Drosophila melanogaster: one gene and its partners. The protein of the gene in region 1 interacts with the protein of each later gene in a pairwise test. Each region holds a gene or a part of one and is shown in the gene's direction. Other genes may lie near its edges. The genes, in order: Droj2, CG10958, Sec15 and CG13133.

What was found.
Region 2: the proteins of Droj2 (region 1) and CG10958 interact in a two-hybrid assay, tested with the Drosophila melanogaster proteins (one large-scale study listed by BioGRID).
Region 3: the proteins of Droj2 (region 1) and Sec15 interact in a two-hybrid assay, tested with the Drosophila melanogaster proteins (one large-scale study listed by BioGRID).
Region 4: the proteins of Droj2 (region 1) and CG13133 interact in a two-hybrid assay, tested with the Drosophila melanogaster proteins (one large-scale study listed by BioGRID).

The regions. Positions count from the first base shown.
Region 1 is NT_033777.3:13,380,259-13,385,819, forward strand, and holds Droj2 (DnaJ-like-2), read left to right. Parts: upstream 1-1,847; 5' UTR 1,848-1,886; exon of another isoform or gene 1,887-1,945; 5' UTR 1,946-2,000; intron 2,001-2,563; exon of another isoform or gene 2,564-2,854; intron 2,855-3,006; exon of another isoform or gene 3,007-3,205; 5' UTR 3,206-3,220; coding exon 3,221-4,321; intron 4,322-4,411; coding exon 4,412-4,522; 3' UTR 4,523-5,025; downstream 5,026-5,561. Other genes in the region: CG8870 (uncharacterized protein), read left to right, coding at 11-560, 638-1,085; mRpS21 (mitochondrial ribosomal protein S21), read right to left, coding at 1,129-1,245, 1,305-1,451; CG9799 (uncharacterized protein), read right to left, coding at 5,452-5,561.
Region 2 is NC_004354.4:8,130,400-8,135,507, forward strand, and holds CG10958 (uncharacterized protein), read left to right. Parts: upstream 1-1,885; 5' UTR 1,886-2,112; coding exon 2,113-4,344; 3' UTR 4,345-4,568; downstream 4,569-5,108. Other genes in the region: CG2116 (uncharacterized protein), read left to right, coding at 1-1,316.
Region 3 is NT_033777.3:21,104,504-21,109,576, reverse strand, and holds Sec15 (secretory 15), read left to right. Parts: upstream 1-1,604; 5' UTR 1,605-1,683; coding exon 1,684-1,759; intron 1,760-1,823; coding exon 1,824-2,941; intron 2,942-3,005; coding exon 3,006-4,112; 3' UTR 4,113-4,531; downstream 4,532-5,073. Other genes in the region: rtet (tetracycline resistance), read right to left, coding at 1-330, 527-970; Tbc1d22 (TBC1 domain family member 22), read right to left, coding at 4,561-4,695, 4,768-4,991. UniProt on the Drosophila melanogaster protein: Component of the exocyst complex involved in the docking of exocytic vesicles with fusion sites on the plasma membrane.
Region 4 is NT_033779.5:10,090,680-10,093,930, reverse strand, and holds CG13133 (uncharacterized protein), read left to right. Parts: upstream 1-1,541; 5' UTR 1,542-1,695; coding exon 1,696-2,349; 3' UTR 2,350-2,723; downstream 2,724-3,251.

The DNA.
Region 1 (5,561 bases):
CTTCCTTCAGGGTGTCAATTTGATACGGAATGCGTGAATCTGGATAAGTGTCCCAGGACCAGAGCAGTTATGAACTCATCCAGGAAAAATATAATAGGTCTTAGAAGATGCGGCACTAATAAAGTGTGCTGCCCCAAGTGGGAAACGTATCTGCCACACGATACTTGTGGACAATCAAGAAGAAAACCTACGAAGGGCAAAATACCGGCGCTGAATGAGTTTCCCTGGATGGCCATGCTGTTATATGGAAATAAAAACAATTTGTCCCAGAAGCTGGTACCAAAATGTGGTGGATCCCTAATAAACAACTGGTACGTCCTGACCGCAGCGCACTGCGTGGAGTATCCATTTATGGACTATCCGTATGCCCTCAAAACAGTGAGACTGGGCGAACATAACACGTCCACAAATCCCGATCGGGCTATTGTGAATGGAAGAAGACAGTACGCTCCTCTTTATATGGAAATTGAAGTGGACCAAATTATTACGCATGAACAATTCAACCGGGGAAGGCGGCTGATAAACGACATAGCACTCGTGCGTCTTAAGTTTCCTGTGCGGTGAGTAATGATTCTCCTCTGGTCGAAATAGAAGTAGGATATGAATTGAAATAATATATCTTTATATCTTCCTATAGCTATACGAGAGCCATCCAACCTATTTGCCTTCCAAGAGCCCAAAAATTGGCCGCGCATAAGCGAAAGTTTCAAGCATCCGGCTGGCCAGACATGGGACAAGGAATTGCAAGTGAGGTACTCTTGCGCAGCTTCATCGCGGAACGGCATCCAGATGTGTGCAAATCAAATTATGACTTTAATTTGGGCAGTCAGATATGTGCTGGTGGTCTGGATGGGAATGACACCAGTCCCGGCGATTCCGGGGGACCCTTAATGGAGACCGTGATACGTGGAAAGGTCACACTCACTTATGCAGCCGGCATAATCTCCTACGGACAGAAGCCCTGCGTACTTAAAACTTGCAAGCCAGCATTTTACACAAAAACTTCATACTTTTTTGAATGGATAAAATCGAAATTGCAAAGTCCATTTATCGACAGCGACAGCAAATCTCGTACTAGAAAATAAGCAATTTATTTAATTCCTACATTTTATTGCCTCAAAAACTAGTTTAACTGCATCCAGGAAAAGGTTCGGCGCGATTTTTGCGCAGTACGAACTGAATTTTTCGGTTCATGTCCTCGTTGTAAATGGCCTTGCATTTCTCGAAGTTGATGCGACGACGAACCTATACAATAGTTTAATACAGTAAATAATAATAAATAGTTAAGTTATTTAAAGTCGAACCTGATACGGCTTTTCGTAGAATCGCGTGCGGCGAAATTGGTCGAGCAGTTCTTCTTTTCCCAAGACGCGATTTAACAGACGACACGCCTCCTCCACATTATTGTTTTGCACCAGAACGGTGCGGGCCAGAAACTGCACGTGTCTCATTTCGGATAAGTAGTTTTATTTTATAAAGTTTTCCAAATGTTTATTAAATAATCGGCTTTCAAAACAGTGTGACCATTTACTGTACTGCTAAACAGCTGATGAATATCACTAACCAGGGCTAACGATTGCTAATAAGAATCGTGGACTCAGAAGGAGTACTTTGAGAACCACTCAACTTAATAAATAAGAAAAATATTTATTCAACACAGTATTTATTAATGCATTGCCAAAATTATTTCTGTAATGCCCATCACACTTAAGAAATACATATTATATCCCATCAAATTATCAAAAATTGCTAATCACCTGAAAATGACTAAAATACCAGTTTTCGGACCTTTGCGGTGCGAGGCAACCCTGATGTTGTGGTTTTTCTTGCCGTTTGCCGCTCTGGTCACACTGGTTTCCAGTTTTCTTCCTAGCGTGGCGGCCATAGTAAGCTGTTGAAAAGTATTCGACGTAAATTAAATTTGTTGTAAAAGTGAAACTTCCAGGAATCGGGCTGCGAAAGTTACTATTTGCTTTAGGCACGACACGACACGAAAAAAGGTGAGCTGGGGCGGCTCTGGGCTAATTAAGATTACCACCTGATTTTGCACATTTCGTCTCGCATTGTGCGGTTTGCCAATGTGTGTGTCTACTTGGTAGACACTTCCTTTGCGCTTGGTTTTCTCATCTCTGTCGTTAAGTAATCATCGATAATTGTTTTTTGTCAGAGAATTTGCCTTCGATTTTTGGCATTAGATTTGCAAAATCGATGGCCATCTAGCTTTTTTTCTCTTCTTTGTTCAATCGAATTCTTCTGACGCAGCGTCTTGCGCGGCACATGTTGGTACGCATACAAGCGCAAAGTCTGGTGCATGTGTGTGCTAGGCACTGGTGAAAATATAATAATTGTATCTATTGATTTGCCTGCTAAATCGAAGGCTGCTTCTAGAATTCATTTCCATTCTTATTTTCGACTCTGCCCTTTCTCCTTTCATTTGTTCCCCTTTTCGTTCTTTTACGGTTTTTTCATTATTACCCTCTCCGCTTTGCAGTCGCCGTTCGCAAAACCAGGGCTGCAATGCGCTGACGAAAACTTCTAGAAACTGTGTGTATGTGTGCGTGCGAAAGAGAAGCGGTTGTTGTCGAAAGGGGGAAAGAGAGCGTCAGCTGCTCGCCGTATTGAAATACGACAATTGTTCTAGAAAATCGACTAGAAAACGTCGCAGTTATTTTCGCGAACACATGGCGGCGTAACGACCTTGAATCCCGGGCTCTAGCTTCCGGCAATGCCTACTATTTTCCGTTGCCCCCCAAATTACACGGAAAAAAATGGGTGATGGCATCAAGTCACAGCTGTAGAAATCAATAAACAAGAAAGGGTCATATGATCGAGTGGTTTCTGGATTTTGAAAAATGTATTTCTACAAAAAAAAATGGGTAACAAAATATAGGTTACTGATTTTTGTTTACAATACTAGTTAGAGAGGAATCAGCCCTTTGAACTATGAAATGTCATTAGATATAAAACTGACAATAACTTCCATCGGGAACCTAGCTGCCATAGAAACAGCACCACAAAATAAATTTTTTTTTTTCATTTTTTATAAGAACTGGCATCCAAATCGGTTGAAACTTCAAAAATTTTCGGTATTACACAACTTCATAATTTCTACCTATATATGCCTGGAGCATACACAAATCTGTTCCCCAATCTGTTATTTACAAGCTCCCAGATAGTAATTACGCACTACTTCGTCTGTTCACAGTAAACAGCAAACAAAATGGTTAAGGAGACTGGATATTATGATATACTTGGCGTGAAGCCTAATGCCACGCCCGACGAGCTGAAGAAGGCTTACCGCAAGCTGGCCCTCAAGTACCATCCGGACAAGAACCCCAACGAGGGCGAGAAATTCAAGGCCATTTCGCAGGCTTACGAAGTGCTGTCCGATGCGGACAAGCGACAGGTGTACGACGAAGGCGGCGAGGCGGCCATCAAGAAGGGCGGCGCAGATTCCGGTGACTTCCGCAATCCTATGGACTTCTTTGAGAAGTTCTTTGGCGCTGGATTCGGAGGTAGTGGCGGTGGACGCAGGCGCGAGAGGCGTGGCAAGGACGTGGTGCACCAGATGTCCGTACAGCTGGAGGAGCTGTACAATGGAGCGACCCGCAAGCTGCAGCTCCAGAAGAATGTGATCTGCGACAAGTGCGAGGGTCGCGGCGGCAAGAAGGGCAGCATTGAGAAGTGCTTGCAGTGCCGTGGTAACGGTGTGGAGACACGGGTTCAGCAGATCGCCCCCGGCATCATGCAGCACATCGAGCAGGTGTGCCGCAAGTGTTCGGGAACTGGCGAGACCATTCAGGAGAAGGACCGCTGCAAGAACTGCAGTGGCCGCAAAACGGTGCGGGAACGCAAGGTATTGGAAGTGCACATTGAGAAGGGAATGCGGGATGGCCAGAAGATCGTGTTCACGGGAGAGGGCGATCATGAGCCGGAATCTCAGCCGGGCGATATTATTATTCTTTTGGACGAGAAGGAGCACTCCACATTCGCGCACGCCGGACAGGATTTAATGATGAAGATGCCGTTGCAACTTGTCGAAGCGCTCTGCGGATTCCAGCGAATCGTTAAAACGCTCGATGATCGCGATCTGATTGTGTCCACACAGCCCGGCGAGGTTATCAGGCATGAGATGACCAAGTGTATTGCCGAGGAGGGTATGCCCATTTTCAAGAACCCCATGGAGAAGGGCACGTTGATCATCCAGTTCGAGGTGATCTTCCCGGAGGTGATCAATCCGTCGGTGGTGCCCACGCTTAAACAGTGCCTACCCCCGGCGCCGGAGGTTGACATTCCAATCGATGCAGAGCAGACGGTTTTGGTGAGTATTTCAGTAGTAGTTTATATCACGATATATAAATAATATATTATTTATAATTAATTTATTTATCGATTTGCTTATCTTTCGCAGGAGGACTTTGATCCCAAGCAACGTCGCCAGCAACACCAGCGCATGGCCTACGATGAGGACGATGGCGGCTATCAGGATGGCCCACGCGTCCAGCAGTGCACATCGAGTTAAGCGCCCCCGCTGCGTGTTGCATCCCCGGACACACAGCCCTAATAATACCCCAACCAACAAGCCGTAATAATATGTAAACCAGCTCCCGGAACACTGTAATTGCGCTTGCAAGTGCCGAAGAACTCCCAAAAGCACCTTAAAACACCATCCAATTCACACTAGGAGGCCCAACCAATCGAGAGATCTAAAGTTATTTCATGCAAGCTACGATATTTAGGTATAAATCAAAGAAACTTATCAGATATATGCACTATGTCTATAACGCGTGGTTGTTTGTAAACCAACATTTTTCTTTATGTTTATGTTGCGTTGGATTGTCAAAGAATCGAAAACGGAAACTGAAACTAAACTAAACTGAAATTGAAATTAGCCGCCACTAGAACCGTATCTAAAGTCCGCGCCAGCGAACACGTCTAGGAACAAGTTTAAGTTATTTAATTCCAGCATAAATAAAAGCGTTAGTTTAAACGGATATAACAAATAAATAATTAATACACAATTTCAACCCAAATGCTGTATATTCTTCTTCCCATAGTTCCAGTATCACTTGCCTTCCTCCGGCTATCTATTGATTCCATAATCGCTGCATAGTCACCCGCAGGTGTGAATCATTCGAATAATGCCAATTGGAGATATCAGGCATATGGCAGTAGTTTCGTCTTGAGTACATTATTTAAAATGCTATCTGGGATAAGTAAAAGATAAAAAGAAAGATAAGGATAGTTTGGGATATATATGGTAATGCCATTAAATCGTTAAGGATATAATGAGGGATTTTGTAGTTGTTGAGGATTATAAAGCATCCTATAAATGAATCTGCGGACCTGCCTGTCGCAAGGAATAACATCAAAAGCAAATTCAAAATGTAAAATGTTTTGTAAATTTATTTACAAAATTTCAAAATGAACTACAACATAATCTGGTGGAAACTAGTGCGCAAAGTTTCGGAGAGCGGCCACAACTCCAGTTCCATAGATGAGCTTCTCCTCCACACGCTGCCAAGCCTCCTGCTGCACCTGGGACACAGTGCGCAGCTCCT
Region 2 (5,108 bases), on another chromosome or scaffold:
CAAGGCCGCCGTCGCCTGTTGTCCAGCCCGCTAGCAAAGCTAGAAATTCTGCCCGCCAGATCGCCTTACGTAGCTTTGTCAGCCAAAAAAACAACGACGACGATGATGGTAGCGTGAAGGAGGTGAAGCCAAGCGAAAAGATGCTGGAGGAGTTCAAGGGACCGCGTCGCTACATGCTTTTCGACGACCTGATAGCCACCATTGTGGACTTTGACGAGGATAGCACACCCCTTGTGGAGTTCTCCATGATCAGCGACATCATGGACGAGAAGCTGCCGGTGGAGTGCGGCATTTGCCCAGATGTGATGCACAAATCAAAGCTGTCCAAGCACCACAAGACCCATCTGGTGCCTGGCACCAATCGCTATGCTTGCATTTACTGCACGGAAACGTATCGCGACTGCAAGTACCTGGCCGGACATGCGCGGCGCCACATGGGCATCCGTCCATACGTCTGCGAACTGTGCACCCTATACTTTTCGACCAAGCAGGATCTGCGCGTGCACAATCAGCGCCGACATCTGGAGAAGGAGCATATTTGCGAAGTGTGCGGCAAGACGTTCGCCCAGAATACCCAGCTGAAGCGGCATCGCGAGGCGACGCACGAGAAGAAGCGGCGATTCCAGTGCGAGTACTGCCAGAAGGCCTACTACAAGAATTTCTCTCTGCAGGAGCACATCCGCAATGTTCACATGGGCAAGCGGCGGATGCTCAAATGCCCATTCTGTGGCATGCAGTGTCGCGATGCTCACAAGATGGCCCGTCATCGTAAGGAGATGCATCTGAGCCAGGGCACATACGTGTGCCATTTGTGCCAGGAGGAGTTCACCGACATCAGCTACTTCGATGCCCACAAGCGTTCGATTCAGTGCCGTAGCAATACGCGTCGCTTTGTGAATGCGGATGGGAATCGTGAAGGATCCGATTCGGAATCCATTTCCGGTCGCAATATGAATGGCCAGGACGACGATTACGACGGCATGGGCCCACTGCAGGAGGAGTACGACGAGGATGACGGCCTGTTGGTTGAGGACAATCAACCAGAGGAGCAGGGTTCGCCGTCCAATCGCCAATATTTGGACGAGAGCGAGCAACAGTATGTGCAGCTATCGGATTACGATGACCAGCACCTGCTGGTGGAGAACGCAGTGGACGCAGAGGATGGCGGTGAGGATTTAGATGAGCTGCTAACCGAGGATCAGTACTTTAACGCTGTCCAACAGCATCACCAGCAGCATCAGCAGCATCATGGCCGAGGGCAGGACTACAACGACGAGCTGATATATGAAATCACCTTGAAGACTGAGGATAACTGAGTGCCGCAACTCCGCGCAAATTTTGTACATATATAGGTCGCAATTAAATACTATCATGTAAAGAATTCATTCGCTTGACTTTGTTTTTGAATGGCAGTACCAAGTTTTTTGGTCGAATGCAACCCAGTGTGTACAAATCCGCAGGGCTGTATTTTAAAGGGCATCAAGTTCGGACTGTTGATTGCAACCAAGGGGTCAAACATCGCGCCTTTTGGTTGTACCAAGGGGTCATTGCGGTTTTGGCAATGGAATTTTCCACTCATTTTGCATTTAGCAAGGCCCCGGTGACGTCAGCACGGGCTATACAGCAGGAGGAAGTGAGAAGGAAATAACTTTAGCTACAGCACTTATTGCTCCATTTCGATAACGATTATTTCGGGTGGAGATGAACTAATTTCAAAACTAAATAGACTTTTATGTATTAAATACGTATTATTCAATGATTTATTGTTAATTATTATTGACAAAATATGGTAAAGCAGTCATGAGACACTTTTTATTAAAAAAAAAGATCATGTATATTTGCTTAAGCCTGCACTTCTCTTGTTTTGCAACACTAATGGGGCGGGCACCACTGACAACAGAAGTAAACAAACGTAAAGACAACATTTTTGTTTCTACCGGAAAAGTAGGCGAAATGGGCAATGACCACGAAACCAAGGGAACCCGGGATCCTTCGATCAAACTTCTCCAGTCACACAACAAACCACCTTGATTTGGAGCAGAGTTGCCTTCAGAAATTCCGCACAACAAAGCGATTCTCATCCAAATCTCGACCTGGCATATATTTTAAACAATGGACGACAACGAGGATGAGCTGGAGGAGCACCAGGAGCTGGTCAGCGACGGCAGTGTCGAGGAGGAGGAGGAGGTGGAGCCCGATCTGGGACCAGTGGACAGTTGGGAGTCCTTTAATGACCGCATCGATGGCCTGATCTTTAACGAGCGATGCGACAAGTCGGTGAAGAAGTTGGACGAACGCCGGCTGGCGATACTCAACCGGGTGCGTCAGCAGTTCCGCGAGGCCCCGAAAGGCGTCGCCGAACGTTGCCAGGCCCAGAAGTCGCCGATTGATCAACGGCTGGAGTTGTCCAGTGAGCGATTGAACGAACTGGTGCGCTTTGGCAAAGAACTAGTGACCAATGTCCGGGTGGCCAACGAGCGAAGGGAGCTGAATCGCCGACTCTTCGAGGGTGCGCAGAAGAATCAGATGCATGTGAAGCTGCAACGCGAAAGCGTTGAGACAATGGCCCGTTTCGAGAACATTAAGGCGCGCTGGACGGAGCTGGAGGAGACCAATGAGCCGATGCTGTTGTGGGACCAAATCGAAGAGCAAAAGAAACGCATTGCCGAGATTATGGCACGCAAGGATGAGATGATATCTGCCTGCCAAGCGGAGGTGGACCGCATGAATGCCAAGTACGAGTTCGATCGCGAGCGGCAGGCCCAGGATCTTTGTTGTCTGGTGGAGCGCGTTGATCACCAGGTGGAGACGCTTAAGGAGGCCTACAAGGAGCACATCCAAATGCTGCGGCAAACCATCGAGGAGGAGCGTCAAATCTTCGCCGATAATGCGGTGGAGAAGTGGCGCACCTTCTTCGATGCGATGAATGCCAACTTTGACGAGAAGGCCAATTTGGTAAGGGCACGCGAGCAATTCTATGCTCGCCAAACCCAGCAGATCAACGAGTCCCAGGAGGAGCTGACCAAGAGCACTCGCATTCGGCTGGAGAAGGAGTGCGAGAGGCTCGAGCTGGAGCTACGTCGCACGCGCGACAATGTGCTGATGAACTCCGAGAAGCTGGACTACAACTATCAGGTTCTCCAGAAGCGCAACGAGGAGAACGTGATCATTAACAACCAGCAGAAGCGACGGGTGGCCCGACTGCATGAGGCGATCGGACGCACCCGGCGTGGCCTGAAGAATCTTTACAACACGGGCAAGCGGAACATAGCCCGTCTTTCCTCGGACATCTACAAGCTGCACTCCAACATCAACGATATGGAGTCGAAGGCGCATCAGGCGAGGCTGAACAATCGCGAAAAGTTCGATCGCATCTGGGAGATCAACTACAAGGAACTGAACCTGCTGGTGGATCGGGTCTACCACATCGATCGCATCATACACGAGCAGCAGTTGGCCATGCCGTGGTCCAGCCCCGTGCCACCCATTCCAAACATCAACAAGGCGAAGAAAAAGCGCAATAACATTCTGGAGAAGTTTGACATGCGAATTGGCCGGGTTCCCAAGAACAGGGTGATGCCCAACTCGGGCGTAAATTGCAAGCCGGATATCAAGGAGCTTCCGCCGGATTCACTACGCTTGATGCGTAATCTTATTCGCAAGCTGTCCGATCGCGGCGGTTTCCTCATCGAGGAGCGTCTGCTAAAGATTCTTGAACCGTATTCCGAGGAGGAAAAATGCCTGGTACGCATCGACAATATATTTGCGGCGCTGCGAATTCGTCATCTGCGGGATGTCAAGGAACTGACCAAGGTTTTCATGCCGTACACCTACTGTCCGAATTGCCAGCCGCAGGGATTGAGTCCACGCAAGTGTGCCGAGGTGTTCATGAAGGATCAAAAGCCAAATCGGCTGCAGGGCGCGGCGGGTGGCCAACCGGATGAAAAGGAGCATAGGTCGACAGGGGATACATTTCTACCCAAGAGCGAGGTGGCGGCCAAGAGATGTCACAATCACTATCTGGTCATGGAACCGGCCCTCTGCCTGCACGCCATGAATCTGTTCACCTCCAAGATGCACAAAAAGATGTACGAACACGAACCGGGTAGCATTCTCAATGCGGTAAATCTCATTCAGATTACAGATGCGGAGATCCGTAATTTCTGGCGCCAGTTCTCGGCCTGCTTCCCGGCCTCCAAGTGCAAGCTGTGGAAGACACTGGAGCACGGACTGAATCACTACGTTGAGGTGCTCAAGATGCGTGTGCAGTACGATGCGGAAGTCGTCTTTCTGCGTCGCCAAAACGAAGAGTTGCGCCATCTGCTGCAAAAGTTCACCGTCTAGGTGCGATATTATTCAATTACAGCCTCAACCGCAATGCACATACATAATCCCAAGCAATTATTGTCCGATTTCACTGCAAACATGATAAATTATAATTGTGCCTAGGTCTTGCTCTTTGACATTGACATCGAAATAGTTTAGAGACGTGGGGTCCCTGCACGGGCGCCATCTGAAAAAGCTTGTTTCATTCAAGAGTCGTGCAATAAAAGTATATTTTGAACATGAAAACCTTGTGATTTTAAATATTTAAAATAATGGAACCCCTCAAAGTTAAATATTACTACGTCTATAGCTCAGTTTGTCCCGCTCTAAACTATGAACAGCTCTCTGATATCATTATTAGTGCCTAGCATGAAAAGAGCTCTTTGATAACATTTGTGAGGGGTTTCCCCTTGAGTCCTTAAATTAATCTTAATACCATATCTTTGAGATAAATATGACTTGTATTTGCTTCATAAACTTAAAGTACCCATCCATCCCCTTTAGAAATATTCCCAATGCCGTCCATGCCGCTCTCTGGTCCACCAAACTGTCGATCTCAGATGTTTGATTTGCTTTTCATTTCATTTCGAACTTTGAGTCCGTGGGAACTAGTTGGCGTTAGATGATCTCTACGACGGGGAATACCTTCGATCGCTTACCTCCCACAGCTACCATTTCACTACTGGAAGCCAAACGATTAGAACTTGTTGCACTTGTGTCTTATGTGTCTTATCAGGGCAAACCGATAAAGTTGAGCGGTAGACAAGAAAATGGTTATACTA
Region 3 (5,073 bases), 7.7 Mb from region 1:
TTCCCGCAGACAGCAGGCCAGGACCACAAGATCTCCAACTGCCAGGCCAAACGCCAGCAGAGAGGGCAACACAAACCAAGTACTTCCACTTTTATCGGAGAATATGGCGAACAGGGCTCCAATCATGGGCCCCACAATAAAGCCCAGCGAGAAGGCCACACCCACAAGGGCCATACCGCGTCCACGGGTCTTAACGCTGGACACATCCGTAATGACGGACATGCACAGGGATATGTTGCCCTTGCTAATTCCGCCCACGAAGCGGGCCAAAACGAACAGGGCAAAGTTGCTGGAGCAGGCCCAGATCAGATAGGATAACGCAATACCACTCTATAGATGAAAGAAGACGTAGCTTAAGGAAGGTTTACTTATTTGTGGCTTAGCTAAGGAGTTTGAATTTGACGAATTCCACGCTTTTGGATTGAACTCGTAATAGCATGAAATGTTGACCAAGCCAAAAAGAAAACTAACAAGACTAGTTTAGTGTTTAGTGCACATTAAAGCATTGAGCACTGGGATTACCTACCGCACAAGCCAGCAGGACTGGTTTCCGTCCGTAGTAGTCCGAGAGTCCTCCGACAATCGGACTGGCCACGAACTGCAGGAAGCTGAACATGGAGCCGAGAAAGCCTCCGAATAGCACCGATATGTAGCGATCCGGGGCGCCCAGGAGCTGCTGGAACCAGCGCACCCGATCCGTGAGCACGGCATACAAGCCGGAGCTGTCGTTCTGGCGATAGTGCTCCAACAGCGAGGGCAGCAGCGGCAGAATGATGGTGAAGGCCAGTAAGTCGAAGAGCAGCGATACGAAGATTATGTATATCATGGGATCACTCTTCTCCGGCTTTCCATTCTCCGATGCTTCCTTATCCAGCGCTTTATTGTTGTTGTGATGGTGGCTTCCGGTTTGGCTGTGGCTTTGCTTCTCCATGGCAGCGGTTCCATTGTGGCGACTCCGTAGGTCGGCCATCTTTGCTGATTTCGGGTGTTTAGCTTGTGCCGTGATTGCGTGCGTGTACGGGTGTTACTGCAACATAACTGTATCAACGGAACCACAACTCCACCGACAACTCTTGGCCCTCTCGAGAAGCGGCCAGCCAAAGCGAAGCCAAAGTGAAAGCTGAACAGCAACAGCTGTTCCAAGGCGGCCTATAACGAGCAGACGGCATTCCAACCTGTTGCTTGCTGCGGATATTTGAAATAAGGGCGCCAAAATGAGTTATTCAAACATCTGTAATTAATTACTTTTCTTATCAAAATTACCAACGAATATTATGTTGGTGAACATTACTAATAGCATAGGTTTAAGTTGTAAATATTTAATTAATTTATAAATATTTTACAAATCATTGTTTCCTGCTTAAATAGTTAAGAACCGGATTTTGATATACATATATAAATTAAGTTTATGATTCGGTAGTTTTCGCCTATTTGATTTATTTATTTTATTACAATCCTAGTGATAATATCTTTTTAAAAGATAATGCAGTCAGATATTCTCTGACACAACTTTGTATTATAATTTAAAACATACCGCTTAAAATTGTTATCGCCTAGTATCGAAAGTCAAACCTCGATAACACTTAGTAAATATTCGATATACCATACCGATAAGTCGGCGAAATAATTGCTCATTAAAGTTTGGTAAAAAGTTGTTTAGAAGAGAAAAAAGAGCGTTATAAGATGTCCAAAGTGACCGTGCAAGACATTGAGGCGGTGGACGACTACTGGGGACCAACATTCCGTTCGATCCTTGAAGGTGACTGCGAATAGAAGCAATTGGCACACTTTGTTTACGCCCATTTTCCTTTTTTCCCGGACAGGCAACAACACTAAGCAGATTGGCGACCAACTGGAGCAGCGGATACGGAGCCATGACAAAGAGATCGAGCGGATCTGCAATCTGTACTACCAGGGCTTCATCGATTCAATTCAGGAGCTGCTCCAGGTGCGCACGCAGGCCCAACAGCTGCACAACGAAGTGCATTCCTTGGACACGTCCCTTCGCCAGATCAGCGCCTCGCTGATTCAGCAGGGCAATGATCTAGTGCGGGCCCGTCAGATCGAATCCAATCTGGCCAGCGCCATCGAGGCACTCAAATCCTGTCTGCCCGCATTGGAGTGCTACATGAAGTTCACACAGCAGGCAAAGAACAAGCAGTACTACCAGGCGCTGAGAACTCTGGAGACTCTGGAGACGGAGCACCTAACGCGCTTGAAGACACACAACTACCGATTCGCCACCCAGATGCAGATACAGATTCCCATAATCAAGGAAAACATCCGTCGCTCTTCCGCCTCGGACTTTCGAGAGTTCCTCGAGAACATCCGGAAGTTTTCACCCCGCATCGGCGAGCTGGCCATCACACACACAAAACAGCTCCAAAAGCGTGATATCAACGCCATCATTGCCGAGCACATGCAGCAGATGAATGGCGGCGAAGCCGGCGGAGCAGGTGCTGGCGGGGATGATGATGGTGCCAACGTTAGTGCCCAGGATCTCATTGACTTCTCCCCCATCTACCGCTGCCTACACATCTACATGGTGCTGGGTCAGCGGGAGTACTTCGAGAAGGACTATCGTCAGCAGCGCAGGGATCAGGCCAAACTGGTGCTTCAACCGCCGCCCAACATGCACGACAATTTGGAGGCCTACAAAACGTACATCTGTGCCATCGTTGGCTTCTTCGTGGTTGAGGATCACGTTAAAAACACGGCGGGCGATGTCGTGACCAGCAGTTATTTGGAGGATCTGTGGTCCAGCTCGTTAACCAAGTTTGTCAACGAAATCAGCATGAGTTCTTCGTCCTGCACCGATCCTAATATCCTTCTGCGCATTAAGAACCTCATTATGCTGTCCATCAACACCTTTAAGTGCTACGGTTACACCGTGAACATCCTCTGGGAACTATTGCACAACATGCGGGATCATTATAATGAGGTGAACGTTAAGAAATTCTATAAGCCATTCTGTTGTTTGTAAAACTCTTGGCTTTCCTTTCCAGGTTTTACTGCAACGCTGGGTACATGTGTTCCGCGAAATTCTCGACAAGGAACAGTTCCTGCCCATGGTTGTACAAAACACGGAAGAGTATGAATGCATCATCGAACGATTCCCCTTCCACTCGGAACAGCTTGAAAATGCTCCGTTTCCGAAGAAATTCCCCTTTTCGAGAATGGTGCCGGAGGTTTATCACCAGGCCAAGGAATTCATGTACGCCTGCATGAAGTTCGCCGAGGAGCTCACCCTATCGCCCAACGAGGTGGCCGCCATGGTGCGCAAGGCGGCCAATCTGCTGCTCACACGAAGTTTCAGTGGCTGTCTATCTGTGGTGTTCCGCCAGCCGAGCATCACGCTGACGCAGCTCATTCAGATCATAATCGACACGCAGTACTTGGAGAAGGCAGGGCCGTTTCTGGACGAGTTCGTGTGTCACATGACCAACACGGAGAGGAGCGTATCTCAGACACCATCGGCCATGTTCCACGTGGCCCGGCAAGATGCCGAGAAGCAGGTGGGCCTACGTATTTGCTCGAAGATCGATGAGTTCTTCGAACTAAGCGCCTATGACTGGTTACTAGTAGAGCCGCCGGGAATAGCCTCCGCCTTCATTACGGACATGATTTCCTACCTTAAGAGCACCTTTGACAGCTTTGCCTTCAAGCTGCCCCACATCGCCCAGGCGGCCTGCCGACGCACCTTCGAGCACATTGCAGAGAAGATTTACTCGATCATGTATGACGAGGATGTGAAGCAGATTTCCACGGGAGCACTCACACAAATCAACTTGGATCTGATGCAGTGCGAGTTTTTTGCGGCCTCGGAACCTGTGCCTGGTCTAAAGGAAGGAGAGCTGAGCAAGTACTTCCTACGTAACCGTCAGCTGTTGGACCTGCTCATTCTAGAGGAATGGAGCACGTATTTCCATGACTATGGCAAGCAAGAGAACCGCTACCATCTGGTGCAACCGCAGTCCATTATTGTGATACTGGAAAAGATCCGCGAGGCGGACAAAAAGCCAATTTTCTCGTTGGTGCGAAAGAATGACAAGAAGAAGCTTTTGGAGACGGTGCTCAAGCAGCTTAAGCACATTGCCGATAGACAGAATTAGAAATATCAGGCTTGTAGTTAGTCGCTTTAAGTCCTTGTTGAATTCGTGTAATCATAAACTATAGCTTTTCATCTTTATTGTTTAGGCTAATTTGAATTTTCACATGGAAAAAGTATTTAGTTCTCATTACATTTGATTCGATTTGTTTTTATAAAAGACAAATTTCAATTGAAACAGCTCGACCCGTTGAACGTGTAAAATTGTATTTTGAATTTTTGATTCTTATGTACAAAAAGCGCAGAACTTTAGCGGTTGCCTACGTACGGATTGTTGATAAATACAAAACGAAAACGACATAGAATGAAAACAAACGGAGAGGAACGTCTAAATAACAAATTGTATATAATTATTAGATGTATGTAGCGTACGTGTATTGTGTAGGTATATTCCGCAAATCGTAATAAACTAACTTCTAAGTTACGTATATGCGTTGTTTGTGTTGCTTTTGTCAACTCTTCGTCTCCAAATGCTTGGGCGCATCCGCATACGTGAACTTCAGGCGGAATGCCTCGGCCAGCAGAACGTTGATTTGTCGATCGGACCAGTTGTGTGTTGGCAGATTTTGTAGCAGCAACATGAGGCCCTATCACATAGCAAGATGGCAATGATTAGTAGACGTTGCAGGAAGGGAAGATCTTTTCGTCTGGAGACTCACCTGGAAATCGTTTTGTTGCATCAGCTGCTCCTTCCAGTGCAGAAGGAATGCCGCGCACACGTACAAGTGGAACAGGGCAAAGCCGTCAGACTCTGCGAGATATGTGTCCCACAATCGGATGGTGCAGTGCAGCGGCAGCTCGCGTGTCAGCAGATTGTTCATCCAGCGAAATGAGAATTGCAAGTAGTCGACGCCATGTGCCTGTAGATGACGATGTAAGTTCACTGAAAGCACAAATTACAATTTATTATCATCACTCGGCAATTGTAGGTTGCATGTCCAATTGGCTTATCTAGTAATTATTTT
Region 4 (3,251 bases), on another chromosome or scaffold:
TGGCATCGATGTGTTATGTAAAAGCGGTGCACAATTTGTAGCCAGCAAACCAATTGACCTTTTGAGGAAGGAATTTAGATTCCTGCTAATATTAGCTTAACCCTAAGCACTTGCGTAATCTATATTTGTCCCAGCGCCATGAAGTGGAAGGGCTTGACTGCCTGTCAATGCAATTTCAAACCCATCTACCCCTTGGCCCCCATCCCCTTTTGACTTTTCTGCTTTTCCCTTGGCCAAGAAAACATCGACTTTTGGCTTGGAAGCTAACGAAACTGTTGCAGTCACTTTTGGCCGTGCTCTGAAAATTTGTCAAACTTGCTTAAAAGCCAAAGCAAAAATTCAATTTCAGCAGCCATGCAGCGCGAGCAGCCAAATTGCCTGACCCCAGCAGCACCAGACATAAGTAAAATATATATCGTATATATTTTACAAATTGGCTCAACCCGGGGCAGCAGTGGTACAAAAATGGCAGCAACAAAGAGGCAACAACTGTCTTGACAACGCAACGACGATGTCGTCGTCGTCGTCTAAGGACAATGGAATACAGCTATCGAATACAGGGTGCAAATCGAGAGGAAGTGGTTGTAATTTGGTCCCACGAGCCTTAAGGATTTGGCGGGAAATTTAATCCGACGCAGCTTTCATTATCTACAGCCAATCAGAAAATTTGGTTGCTTACTTTTGCCATATTTTCCGTAAAAGATAGCACCCTGTTAACAGCTGTTTGGATAGCACTGCAGTCACACTGAAAAAAAAAACGCACTAAAAAAAGTGTATTTCAAATTTTAAAATAAGTATACAATTTTAACAAGGACTTTTGCCACTCTTCATGGAGTAGCTTTCGATTTTCATAGATATCCATGCAGTTTCTCTTAGTGCATAAGTATCCAATGTTGCTGTGGGGTCACGATTTTCATTAGTTTCATTTGCCACAATGCGTCTGCCATACTCGTCTGCCGAGTTCAGTTGCTCGGATTTGCTTTGCTCTTCCCGTGGCGGGGTGACAATGGTACAATTAGTGACACCATTCGCCATTCCTCCAGCACTCGGTTTGATTCAAAATTTTTGGCATTATCTCATAACTGGCTCAACTCGCGCTGTGTGCACTGTGCTCTCCTTGTCCCGTCTTCCGATTCCGGCTCCTTGGCGCCGCTTGTGCAATAAAAGGACGAAGCTCCGCGGCTGATTGGACTGCTGGTGGGACGGGTATTGATCAAACAGTTCGAGTTGTCGGACAAGGCTGAGACCCACTTTCCCGGGAACGCGTGTCCCACTGAAGGAACGCGATACAGTAAAATCCTGATATATGTAACTGATTGAGAGTTATCACTTAGTAAAAAGCCATTTACCTGTAGCCAACTTAATTAAAAGAATATCTTTTGGTTTACGTGCATGTTTCTAAATGATCCTTTCCTGCATCGAATTGGAGTCGCACCTACTGAAGAGTCACTGTACTTAAAAACGCCATTGAAGGTGGAACAGAAATATGCTCAGTTAGAGTGGCTTTGGTGCCAGGTACAGTTGTGCAGCTCCAAGTTCCAGCGATTACCATAACCTCATCCACTCAGTTAGCTTGTAAGAGTCGAACCGGGCGGAGGGCAACGGTTTTTTTGGCCACATAAGCCAAAAATCAACACGCTTGCTCCGTGTGTCCAACGAACCGGAGTCCGTGCATCGGGAACCGGTGGCGCAGTCATGCCCATCCACTGGGACTGGGATTGGGAGCATGATCACGAGCATGGTCACCATCACTGGCAACCGCCGCGTCGCCACTGGTCCACCGGGGAGTCCAAGTGCCGGCAGAGGCACTACTATCTCTCCCACGACCTGGACGTATGTGCGCGGGACTTTCACTTGCGGATGGACGACAGTGCCTGGTGCCATGGATCCTGTCTGGTTGGGCGAGTGGTCATAGAGACCGGCACCGAACCGGACTCCCTGGGTCGGGGCACCTTCAAGGTGGTGCTGGACGTGCACCACTTTCAGATCTCTGAGCTCACGGTGAAGGCCAAAAACAGCGACACCGTGTGCGTGGAGGGCAAGCAGGCGGATGACCGGGCGGAGAAGGGTCAGTTGTGCATCACTCGCGAGTTTACGCGATCCTACAAGCTACCACGGCACTACGATGCCACACAGGCACGGGCCACCTTCTCTGCGGACGGAATACTGATGATTACGGTGCCAGCACCACCGAAACTGGACGACGTGGAGCGCGAGATCGAGATTGAGCCCACGGGCAATTACTTTGGCAGCGTGTCCGATCCCACGGCGCCCAAGGCTATCGAGCAGGCGGATGTGGACGGCGATGGTGGAGAGGCTAATCCTGCTGGCACGGCGATGGACAAATGAAGCCGGCGACGTCTGGCGGTTGCGCGGCGGTTCCGCTTGCTCATACCAAAGTGGAGGCGGAAGTCCAAATGCGTTTAGGCCGCCAGAGGCAGTCGATCGGTTGGAGGGCAGTTGCAGTATATCAGACGGAGAGACAGTCGAAGCACATTCCAGTCACCTGGCGCACATGCACGTTGGAGTTTTTCGTGGAAACCAAAATCACTCGGATTGTTCCTGGGTTCCAGCTTAGATAGCACGTAGTCCTTCGTTCGAAACGTGAGCAAATATGGCGAAGTCAACATTTTGTAGAATTTTCTTAAGGTAGCTTCAATATAACGTTTAAGAGTTCATATCCGCTTGTGATTTTGTTTAACGCCAATAAAGGACTTTATCAGAAAACAGGAGAGTTTTGAATATTTCCAGATTTTTCGAAGAAATAATTTAACACCTTTAATCTTATCATTTATTTAAACGGTATTCTGTTTTATTTTGTACTGTATTTTGCAATGGCTGTTCATTTTCTTCGAGCTTAATTATTAAATATAATGAAGATGAACATTTCACTGGAAAATATATTTACATTTAATGAATTCTAAATCAAATCGGATCAAGGTATTTAAAGATAACAATGTTTCATTCCACCAAGTTGTTATTTCAAGTACAATCCGAATGAAAATATCCTCCAGCTAATCGGGAAAACAAACCCAAATCAGGGATAAATCATGCCTCTGGGAAAACTTCAGCTCGAATTCAAAACCCAAGCGAATTGGATTTCTCGCTGCTTTTAACTTTCCTGTCACGCAGCTTTTGATTAGCGTCAAATTTGAATAAAATTCACTAACACCTTTTGTGTTTTTCTTGTCTGTGTTCGTATCCTCGGGCACATGGCCCATAAAAAGACAATAAAGAAACCCAGCTAGTCA